Ovis aries: one gene and its partners. The protein of the gene in region 1 interacts with the protein of each later gene in a biochemical or structural test. Links are inferred from orthologs where the notes say so. Each region holds a gene or a part of one and is shown on either strand. Other genes may lie near its edges.

The links.
Region 2: the proteins of AURKA (region 1) and INCENP form a complex in vitro, tested with the Homo sapiens proteins (3 studies listed by BioGRID and IntAct, with this or other methods). The link is inferred for Ovis aries from reciprocal best matches to the Homo sapiens genes AURKA and INCENP.
Region 3: of the proteins of AURKA (region 1) and OTUD7B, one has a biochemical effect on the other in vitro, tested with the Homo sapiens proteins (2 studies listed by BioGRID, with this or other methods). The link is inferred for Ovis aries from reciprocal best matches to the Homo sapiens genes AURKA and OTUD7B.

What each region holds. Positions count from the first base shown.
Region 1 is NC_056066.1:59,223,879-59,227,391, reverse strand, and holds part of AURKA (aurora kinase A), read right to left. Parts: intron 2,494-3,513; coding exon 2,345-2,493; intron 241-2,344; coding exon 66-240; intron 1-65. UniProt on the Homo sapiens protein: Mitotic serine/threonine kinase that contributes to the regulation of cell cycle progression.
Region 2 is NC_056074.1:37,157,005-37,160,964, reverse strand, and holds the start of INCENP (inner centromere protein), read right to left. Parts: upstream 2,804-3,960; 5' UTR 2,681-2,803; intron 1-2,680. UniProt on the Homo sapiens protein: Component of the chromosomal passenger complex (CPC), a complex that acts as a key regulator of mitosis.
Region 3 is NC_056054.1:100,104,085-100,108,308, forward strand, and holds the start of OTUD7B (OTU domain-containing protein 7B), read right to left. Parts: upstream 2,804-4,224; 5' UTR 2,529-2,803; intron 1-2,528. UniProt on the Homo sapiens protein: Negative regulator of the non-canonical NF-kappa-B pathway that acts by mediating deubiquitination of TRAF3, an inhibitor of the NF-kappa-B pathway, thereby acting as a negative regulator of B-cell responses.

The sequences.
Region 1 (3,513 bases):
TAGCCTCCTGTCAAGGCTGATAAGGAATTCTAACAACGACGGGTCCCTCTGTAGTGAGGCCTTACCCGTGATATTCTTCTGTAGGTCTCCTGGTATGTGTCTGCCTCAAAAGGAGGCTTCCCGACGAGGAACTCATAGCAAAGCACCCCAAGGCTCCAGAGGTCCACTTTCTCGTCGTGCATCCGGCCCTCAATCATCTCAGGGGGCAGGTAGTCCAGCGTGCCGCAGAGGGTGGTCCTCCTGAAAATACAGGCAGGCTCGGGTTGACGTGCTACTGTTTCTATTATCATGACAGCTGCTCAAAGGCACCAACCATTCCACTAACCCTGAGCGCTTTTCCTAGGCTAGCTCCTGTGCTACAAAGCAGGTGCTATTATAAACCCATTTTTAGATGGGGTGCTGTACCAGACCTCACAGTTAGCAATCATGTGGCACCCCAAATATGTCTAATTCCAGAACTTCCTTAAATGATATATAAGATTTAAAGTATCACCACTATAAAACTGTGTGAACAACTAGGGAAATTTGAACATGGACTAAATAGTAGATATTAACAAGACTAGGTTTCTTAGGTGTGATAATGGCTGTGATTATACAGGACAATGTCCTTAGCCTACTTACTGAAGCACTCAAAGGATGAAGCATGCTGTCTGTCACTTATTTTTTGAAGGTTAACCAAAACGTAGACACACTCAATGTGGTAAAATGTTAACAACTATTGGGAGTATAGGCACTGGATAGGCAGGTGATCAATTCAGCGTGTCTGTTTTTATAACAGAGGTTGGAAACAGACATCAAAACAGGAGCAAAGGCTAGGCAGATTTTGCTGCCTTGTACCAGTTACTCTTTGGTGCCACTGGTGCCTGGCAAGTGCACAAATGTTCGCTCACCTAAAGGAGCTGCCACCGCAGACTCCTAGCCTCTCACCACTGGATTCGGGAGAAGGCCCAGATCAAGAGCCTTGGAAGACAGCACAGTAACCTGAGAGCTCTTACAGCGAACCAGCTATGGGAAGCCGGGCCAAGTGACCAACATTTTATATGATATCCTCTTTAGAAAAGGATCAGCTAGCTTTCCTGTCGTGAGGACACCACTGGGCGGGCCAAGGTCCAGCTTAGCCCTGTGATCATACAGCCATTGCTGTTTGCCTCACCAGAGGCCAACAGCTCCCACTTGTGACAACCAGATTTTTTTCTCCCCTAAACAAAAAGAGACTGCAACAGCAGATTCAGTGCCTTGCTGGAAACAATTAGGAGTGATCTATATCAAAAACAAATCTCACACTCAACAGCATCCATTTGGGACTATACAGTTTTTTAAACTGGCTTTAAAGTAATCTGGTTACAATTTTTTAAAGACCTACCCCAAAGCTGACAAACTCTTAGCAGTAGATGTATGCTTTTAATTGCCCTACTTCACACATGGTTTCAAAAGCTCATTGAAACCCAACCTAAAAACAGGAGAAAATGTTTTAGCTCTGTTTGCAAAGTTCACTTAAATTGTTTCATAGGTTGGTCTCTCTGCTTTAAGAGGAGATAGGAAAGGACTGCTCTGTTGACAGAAGCAGACCAAAGAATCTTTACCCACCAGTCTGAAAGCTCCATCCAAACTAGTTTGGTTCCTTTAAGCTCCCAGTTCTAGAGCTCTGCAGGTGCTGCCCTCAGAACTCATAGAACTCGTGTCTCCTGGCCCTGGAGGCAGTGGAGTTTGCCTCCCCGTCAGTCAGGTGTTGTTCCCCCTCTACACACCGCATTTCATTCTGTGATACACTTGTCATATCTTTTACCTATTTGTCCCCTTCACTGGCCTCTAAGGATAGTATGCATCTTTAACCCCAGGTTGCTGCTGCTGTTAAGTTGCTTCAGTCGTGTCCGACTCTGTGCAACCCTATAGATGGCAGCCCACCAGCATTCTCCATCCCTGGGATTCTCCAGGCAAGAATACTGGAGTGGCTTGCCATTTCCTTCTCCAATGCATGAAAGTGAAAAGTCAAAGCGAAGTCGCTCAGTCAGGTCTGACTCTTAGCGACCTCATGGACTGCAGCCTACCAGGCTCCTCTGTCCATGGGATTTTCCAGGCAAGAGTACTGGAGTGGGGTGCCATTGCCTTCTCCGTAACCCCAGGATAAACATCCACAAATGGCTGCATAGTAAAAATGTTCTTGAAGACACTAGTTTCCTGCCAGGCCTAAATTACTCCAAAGCATGTATGTCAGTTACCTGACCCAACCGCCCACAACATCTATGCTTACATTTACTTACAGTAAATATTTTACTATTTAGCTCATTAGCCCCTAGGCTTTTACTAAACCAAACAAACAAGTTCCATCTCTGAAGTTATATACCTGGAGGATGGGGCATGTACCGACCACCCAAAATCGGCGATCTTAAGCTCTCCAGCTGATCCAAGGAGCAGGTTCTCTGGCTTAATGTCTCTGTGAATAACTCTCTTTGAATGACAGTAAGACAAGGCATTTGCCAATTCTGTGATATACTATTAAAACAAAAAGTATTGGAAATCCGTTTTAGATTTATATAACACAATTTTAGACATCTCTTCAGAAAGGAAACTCAACATAGATTTTAACATGTTCTGTAGATTTGAAAGCAAAAACTAGAGACAGTGGATGACTCTAGAAGAAAACAAACCAATTTAGTGTTCAGTGTGAAGTACAAGTGACTCTGTGCTAGGTTATCTGCTCACACAGCAGGTGCGACGCCGAAAGACAGCAGAACACCAAGGTACCACTACATCCCCACCTGGCAATTTATGGCCCAGAAGCCATGAATTATGACAATATTGAAAAACTGGTACAAATGAGGGAGTCGGGCCTGTAAACAATTTTTAAAATTCTTAAAAAAGAAAAACTTTATAGTCCATCCCCATTTTTAAAACTAAGGCAAAATTACAACAAAAGGGTTTGTTTGAAGCTATAAACTTAAGCAAGCCCAGGATTGGCTTTAACATGTAAATGAGAATTGTTTTCTAATATATTGAATATATTTAGTTCTGACTGACGTTTGAGAAGCGTTGGTTTCTCAAAAAGTAATTCTAAATAGGACTGAACATTATGTTATGCCAAAAAGGTTTACCAAATGAAGGGGTACAAACCAGATGTTATTGTCAGAAAGGACATTTTTCATTGCTTTCAGCCAAAAGGCAGAGACCAAAATTTAGACCATAAACTTAAATAAACCATAAATAAACTGAAAGCAAAGGTAAAGAAAGCTCGTCTCTTGCACCAAAGTGGGTGATGCTCGAAGAGGATACGGTAGGATTCCAGATGACAATGGGCTGCCCCTGCTCAAACCCGGCAGGAACCAGCGCTCTCTGCATCCACCCCCTCCACATACCCACATTAAGATTATGGATTATGTGTAAAGGTCCCTAACACTTCTCCAGAACTAGTTTTAATTAATCAGGAAAGAAAAACAGGTGTGTGTGTGTGTGTGTGTGTGTGCGCACGCACACGCGCACGTATAAACTACTAGGGAATCTAGAAAGAACCAATCT
Region 2 (3,960 bases), on another chromosome or scaffold:
TCAAAGAACATCAAATCCAACTGCTCCTTATGGACGCTAGTAAATGACAGATCTGCATTCCAAAGGAGTGGGTAAGAAAGTGGTGGTCCAGAGACAGGCTCTTCTCTAGGGGGCCCCTATAACTCTCTCCCTTGAACAGAAACGCCTTCGGATGGATGAGGGAGCATGAGGGAAACGGATAAGCAATGTCTTCTTTTTTAGAAAACTTAGTCTAGAAATATCAGGCAGTATAAAATACAAAATTAGTTTTCCCTTAATTTTTTAAAAATAGTTTTTATTGACGTATAGCTGCTTTTAGTTTCAGATGCGTGGCAAAGTGATTCAGTTTACAGATACATATATATCTATTCTTTTTTATTACAGGTTATTAAAAGTTACTGAGTAGAGTTCCCTGGGCTATACAGTAGGTTCTTGTTGGTTATCTATTTTGTATATCATAGTGTGTATATTTTAACCCCAAGCTCCTAATTTATCTCTTCCCCCCTTTCCCCTTTGGTAACCATAAGCTTGCTTTCTATGTCTTAATTTCTTAAGAAACTAGCCACTCAAACAAAAACAAACAACTAGAAACTCAGATATTCTCCTCAAAATTCAGTTATAAAATTATCACCAAAGCCCCAAGCAAGGAAGAAGTGTTCTATTGTGGTTCATAGCAGGGGCTCAATAAACATCCTGACTGGGGCAATGAATGAAAGAATGAATTAATAGGTGACAGTCACAAGCCATAATAACAGACTGCGTGTCTCACGCCATGGCAGTGACCACCACCCGATCAACACCTTCAAAACCAGGAACCATCCACAGCTCAGCCTCTACCTGAGACAGGAAGTTCTGGAAGGAGGGGCTAAGTCACTGACCCCTATAAAGGGCTTAACGCCAGGTGCTGTTGCAGCCTCACAGGATTGCCTTCCTGGAGCCTGATTTCCAGGGCACACTGGCCTCTGTTCCTCGAGCAAGCTCTGCCCTCTGCCTGGAACCTTCTGTCTCCTATTTGGTACAGCTCACTCCTCAGCACTTGGCTCTCAGCAATGCAGGGAGGACCTGACTACCAGCCACCATCCTATCCATCAATTTCAATACTCTGCACAACACTCAGGTAACGATGTATCTGCTTCCTGACTACCTGTCTCTGCCCACTAAGCATTTGTTCCCTGAGGGCAAGCCCTGATCTGTCTTGCTCGTAGCTTTGAAGCCCAGAGCTTGGCAGCATGCCTGGCACAAAAGGAACACCTGTTGAATGAACAGATCCATCTATCAAATGTACACCTAGAAATAAACATTCTACAGACACTCTAACTCCCTCCCCAAAGACACACACACACAGGGACACCAAATGAGGCCATTCTACACAGGTCAGAGCACGCCTTTCTCATCCAAAGCCCTACTCCGAGGAGCTAAGAGCAGCACCCGTCAGGGCAGGACCAACTGGGCAGGACCGCGGAGGCTTTGGGCAGAGACAGGTGTGCAGATTCCAGTCACAGCACAGCCTCCTGGCTGCCATCCCTCTGACTCCCCCCAGTCCCTCTGTCCCAGCGTTCAGTCCTGGCTAACGACAGGAATCCAGTTTGAGGCTAGGAGAGACCTGTTTAAGGAACACAAAACAATTTGTGCTATGGAGAGCAACAATTTGCTCTTTTATTTAAAAAAGTAAATGGCAAAGTGGGTCAGGGCTTCTTACACAAAGTGCAAAGAAGTGTTTGAGCTTCTTCCATAAGGAGGTTTGTTTTCAGCAGCCTCAGCCTATTTAAAAAGGGTCACTGTCATTAGATCAGAGATGACCCTGAGAAAGGAGATCAGTGTTAAGAATGAGGGTCTGGGGAAAGGCGATAAAAATCTTTTCAGTCCCCTATAAGAACCTGGATACAAACCCAAAGCACCTTACGTCCCACCAAGGGTGAAGGAGGCTCATCTTCCTCTCCCAATACTTTTCTCACGTCATACATTAAGAGCCCCACGGCCCTCCTTCACAATGACTGTTCTTTTGAGGGTGTGGGAAGACCACCAGATAACCCTGACCACACCTCAGTGAAGAAGCTCGTAATAGCTACTTTCTGTAAAGAGACCTGCTCCATGCTCGGGTGGAGCATCATCTCATTTCATTCTCGCCACAACCTCAAGGAGATTCTGGTGCAGATGAGCAAATTGAGGCAGACTGAAGTCTTACCCAAGTCTTCGGGTAAGTCAAGGGAGGGGCCCGGATTTAAACCGTGCTCTTAACCTCAGCTTTGCCGCCTACTCCATTTCAACTTCGGAAAGGTTGGCGCTAAGTTCTGACTGGGCGCCCCAGGGAAGGCCACTGTCAGTAAACGGGCCGGGGGAGTGACAAGTCAGCACTGGCCTCCGGAAACGGGTCAATTTAAAATGCTGCTCAGCCGATAAGGGAGGTGGTGAGCCAGGGTTAACTGTACAGAAATGCCATCTGGTACAATGCCGCCAAACACCCAGTCGGTGGGTGCTTCCTGAGCGTCCAGGTCAATAAAAGGCGCCTGGAGGGGGAAGGGTGGGGTCATCTTGGGCCCCAGGACCAAGGCAGGGCACCTCGTCACTTGGAAGAGGTGACCCATCCCCTGCAGGCCGCAACGGGGGATAAGGGAGGTCATGACCCCCGGTCCAGGGCTGGCGGAGGGATAACAAATTGCTAACGACACCCCAGCCCCGCCAGCCGCCCGCGCAGACTCACTCGACTGCACCGCGTCTCCTTAACTGCTGCTCCGATCCAAGTCCGGCGACCCCCCCAACACAAATCCCAGCCTGCCCAAGCCCCACGGCTCCCGGCCTCCAAGGCTTGCGGCTGCAGTGAACCAACGGGGCGGTACAGCGCGGGCCAAACCTACGATTTTCAAAACTGAAGGTTCGACCAATCCCCGTCAAGTTTGTCTGGGCGGCTGCAAAACTCTAAGCCAATCAAGTAAAAGGAAGCACCAGTCAGCCCATCGATTGGCTCTGTGGATTGGCACTCTGCGGGACTAAGAATAGGGGAGAGGAAGCGTTGAAACTTTAACCTGTACAGCTTCCGGGAACAGCGGCGCGCGGCCTGGAGAGGAGATCTCCCGAGGTGGGAGTTGCGCGCGCAAGGTCTCACACGCAAGAACTACAAGTCCCAGCGTGCATTGCGAGTGCCCTGAGGGACCTGGGAGATAGGTGAGGCCTTAGTGCCTCTTCACTGCCGTTTCTTCACCCAACTCTGTCCTCAATACGGGCCGAGCTCAGCCATTTTACAGAAATAATATAGACGATGATGTTTCTTAATGATTTCAACTTAAACTTACAAAGCAAGACAGCAAAATTTATAATAGAGCGAAATTGGGGGGAGGGAAAAAAAAAATGATAATAATAGAGCGAAATTGTTTCCATAACAGTTAACACTGTCTGAGTCACAAGTAAAGCCAAATTGCTTGTATGTTTTCCATGCTGTCAAAGGTTAAAGTAAGAATCCAGATTTCCATTTCAGCACAAATCGCCAACCTCAAACTGCAGTTCCAGCATACTTTTTCAGACTTTGATGCAAATACAGAGGACATTTCCATTATTTCATAATCCATTTAACCCTGTTATTCAGGACTTGCCACTTAATCTCCAACTGGAAGTCATTAATCTGTAACGCGATGACCTGCTAAAAGGCAAATATCAAGAGAAGAAGCCAACAGTTCTACACATACATTTCTGGTGATAGTTAAGTCGCCAAGTCGTGTTGGACTCTCCTGAGACTCCATGGACTATAGCCGACTCTGTGGACTGTAGCTCACCAGGCTCCTCTGTCCATGGGATTCTGCAGGCAAGAATATTGGAGTGGGTTGCCATTTCCTTCTCCAGGGGACATTCCCCACCCAGTGATTGAACCCTGGTCTGCCAGCATTGAAGGCAGATTCCTTACTGACTGAGCAACTCAGTTCAGTTCAGTCGCGTCTGACTCTTTGTGACCCCGTGGACTGCAGCACGCCAGGCCTTCCTGTCCATCAC
Region 3 (4,224 bases), on another chromosome or scaffold:
TTTCAGGATTTTTTTCCCTGATGGGATGAGTGTCTGGGGTAAGGAGAAAAAGTGCTCCCTTACAATGTCCTCTTCCAGCATACTTAGCATGCTTGAGACATTCAGGAGCTCTAAAACTTTAACAAGTGGCCCCATAACAACCTGAAAACTTATTTTTAATACTGAGTTATTCCATCATAATTCACTTAGTAACATATACTGAAACTCAAAATTCCAAACAAAGCCTTCTGAGAACTGAAAATAGTGATGGGCTATTGGGTTGCCCTACACTTATTATAGGATTTTATTCACCATTTCAATCCCTACCCCTAACCCCAACCCTGGGAATAATACAAGTAGTTCAACTGGGGCAAGTTGCTAAATACAGATATAAGCTGAATGTGCTAGATATCATCACTAATAATGACACCAACTAACTCACAAATTAAAACAATTATTGATAGTCAACAGACTCTGGAACAGTGTGTGTAATTTTGAAAAATTAGATATTCCCTCCAAACTAAAACATTTTCAATAGGAGCCCCAAAGAAAAAGATTAAGGGGAAAAAGTGTCAGGAAAATTTCCAAGTTTCTGGCAACATAACTACATCAAAGTCCAACCAATAATTAACATCCATTACTGGTCAGCCTGCCTTATACAAGTCAGTATACAGACCTTTCTTTGGTAAAGGTTTACTTTTTTTTCACAAGGAAGTCTTTGACATTAAAGGAAAGGGATAAGCCAAAGTAGGCAACAACAACAACAAAAATGACAGTAGTTTGGAAACTATTTTCCTTCTTTCCTTCCTGCTTCAGTGCATGCTGTCCAAAGCGGGTATCTGTTCAATTCTATTCATTCATGTTAATGGATGATTATCGGTAGAAAGGTGCTGATAATCCAAAATGGAAAAAATCGAAAAAGAATCTATTTCAGTTTTGGAAAATCTTTTCAGTACGTTTAACTTCTCAATTACTCCTAGCATGACCTAATACGTGTATTCATTTGTAATCTCCAAGTACATAGTAACTGGCCACCAACTTAGGGAGGTGCTCCGAGGCATGCCGGGTAGCTAGTGGAAATTAGAACAGACTGGTACTCGGCTTCCCCGTGAACAACATCAATTTACTTTACAGTTCTGTCCAGCCTTCAAAATATCAATAGACTAGCACAGCAGGTTGGTTATTAACCTTTAAAAGAAAGGCTGGGAAAAACAATGAGGACAAAGAGTATAATTGTTTGCCCATAATGTATTCATTTGTAAATTATGCACAGCAAATGTTTAATTACAAGTCTGATTCTCCCTAGCCACCCAGCATAAGTCCCTACTGTCTTCTCCGTCAAGAATACAACCTCGTTGATTAGGAAGGAAATCTTCTCTCTTTTAAAGTTAAGTAGTATAAAAAATGTTTTTAAAAGATTTAAGACTAGCTACCCTTATGGACCCACCTTCCTGCTACTTCTTCCCTCTGTCCTTTCTCACTTTAGAAATAGGTTGAAAGACAAAGGGTTCCAGCGTCCTCTAACATCTAAATATACAGTACGATAAGTCAAAGACTAAACAATTACCCGTTTCTGATTTTATAAAAGGATTTATACATATATGAACTACAAGTCAACTAATTTTTGCCTTTGCATTCATGAAAACTCCCTGAAGAGTTGGGGAGAATCTCTTATATAAAATCTATTTTAGTTTAATTTTTATATTTATTGTGCCCAGAGAAGCCACCTAGGTTCCAGAGACTACCTAAACACAGAGAGAGAGAAGGGTGAGAAAAAGAGAGAGGAAGAGAGACAGAGAGGGGGGAGACTCAGAGCGCTGGTCCTTGTGAGCTGACAAGCTAAAAATACGCCGGCCCAGTAAACAAATCCCATTCCATCCCGACCGGAGCCACACCGTTAACCTAGTAATTATGAGAAGAGGAGTGAGATCACGCAGCTCCCGGCTTACTCATCATCAGCTTCTAAAGTTTCCATCGGCTCATGGCAACTTTTTTTTTTTTCCAAAGTTCATAAGCCTGCCATAAAATCAATCTATCTCTCTATCACTCTCTTTCTCGTATACACACTTCTTTTTCGCTCCCTTCCTCCATTACTGGACGCACCTCAGTTTAACTACCGATATGGCAGAACAGTTTGGTTTCTGCTCATTTTACTTTCGAGACTTTAAAATGAACTTTATCGTACTATGAGAGTAGTAGCCGGCACTCCTAGCCACCTTAAAATTCCACCATCCCTCCCCGAAAGTCTAGCTGACAAGGAGAACCGTCCAAACTGCCCAGCACAGTTGAGGAAGGGAGGCCACGAACGGGGAAGGGGGGCTGGGAAGGTGGGACGCAGGTGAAAGGGAGGAGTAACGGGAGAAAGGTTGGAACCAAGCAAGGAGCAGTCAGGGCGAGGAGGGGGTGCCGAAAGGAGACGGCTCCGCGTGAAACACAATCAGAAAGGAGAAGAGGGACAGTGGCGACCAGAGGGTCAGAGTTTGGGAGTCTGAAGAGGCGGGAGGGGCGGGAACAGACGGGGGAGGGTGACAATGCGGGGGCTCCGTTACCCTCGCGGCTCCTGGGGCAAGGCCCTAGGCCGGGGCGGAGCGCGGGGCCCGGCTGCCTCTCCTCATTCCTCGGCTGTGACCCAGGGGTCCGGCCGGCCCCTCCCCCGTCGACGATGGAGGCGGAGGCGTTGGCTGAGACTGAGACCGCGGCTGCTGCTCCGCACAGGATCAGGAGCTGGAGCCAGATAGGACTGATCTGGACTGGCTTCCCCAGTGGCTTTTTGCCTGCTCCGCACTCGGTCGCCACTCGGACTCTGGGCTGCTGGTTCAGGATCGGTGGTTTTCGGCCGTCCGGCCGGAAACAAGCGCCAGTTTCCGGCCGGAGCTGGTTGGTGGTGACACCCAAGCGGCCCCCCGAGCCTCCTCCCGCCCGCCCCGCCCGGCCCGGCCCGGCCCGGCCCCGCCCCGTAACAGCCCCGCCCTGAGCGCCGCTCCCCGCGCTGTGACCAGTTTGGTGCTTGCCCCGCTCCTGAACCCGTGTTTTCCTGGCGGGTGTTCCTAAAGTCCCTGGTCTGGAGAGTTCTTGAGCCGGAGCTAGGTGGGTACTGGGTGGACTCTTGAGACTTTGAGGTGTAGTCAGTTGGACACAGCCCTTTGGGAAGAAGCAGAAAGAGGCGGGGTAGTTCTAGAAAGGTGAGAGGGATGAAAATTCTCTGAGAACCAGAAGACTGAAATTCTAGTTACCCTACACGATCATTCTGGACTGACCTGAGGAAAAATAACAACGCTTCTTCCAGATCAGTCTCCACCCATTTATGCACTCTCTCTCCTTCACTCCTGTAGTGAACATGCTTTTCTCTATAAACACTCAATATTTATTTACTTGCACAACAATTATATCTACTTTAGAGAGTGCAGTCAAAACAAGTTATGTTGTGCTTTTTTGGTAACTCCTTTTAACAACAACTATGCTATCGCATAGTTCAATTCACAAATATTGAGTCCCTACTGTGTACAAGGCATTGTGCTCATTGATATTGGGATCACAAAAACGTATAAGACATAATTCCAGGCATCAAGGGCCTTACACTTTGGTAAAACAGATAAAGTGAAAGTGTTAGTCGCTCAGTGATGTCCAGCTTTTTGTAATGCCATGGACTGTAGCTCACCAGGTCCCTCTGTCCATGGAACGCTTCAGGCAAGTGAGTAGCCATCCCCTCCTCCAGGGGAATCTTCTCCACCCAGGGATCGAACCGAGTTGCAGGCAGATTCTTTACCATCTGAGCCACCAGATAAGCCCATATTATATAAAGCAGAACTCACGTTAAGTGCTGTGTGAGGTAGGAGGACCTGTGGCTATGAGAACATAAGCCTTGCCTGGCACAGAGCAGACTTTCACATTTGTTGAGTGAATAAAATATTAGACAAACGTTGACTGTTTTAAATAAGAAGAGCTGTTTAATAACAATCTCTTTATGACAAACACAAAATAGGGCCACCCCCTACTATAATCTGACCAAAGAAATGCTGAATTTTAATTCAGATTCCTAACATCCTGGCAACTGGTTTGCATTTTCAAAATGTTGTGCCCATTTCAGTTCAGTTCAGTTCAGTTCAGTTGCTCGGTCATGTCTGACTCTTTGCGACCCCATGAATTGCAGCACGCCAGGCCTCCCTGTCCATCACCAACTCCCGGAGTTCCCTCAAACTCACGTCCATCGAGTCAGTGATGCCATCCAGCCATCTCATCCTCTGT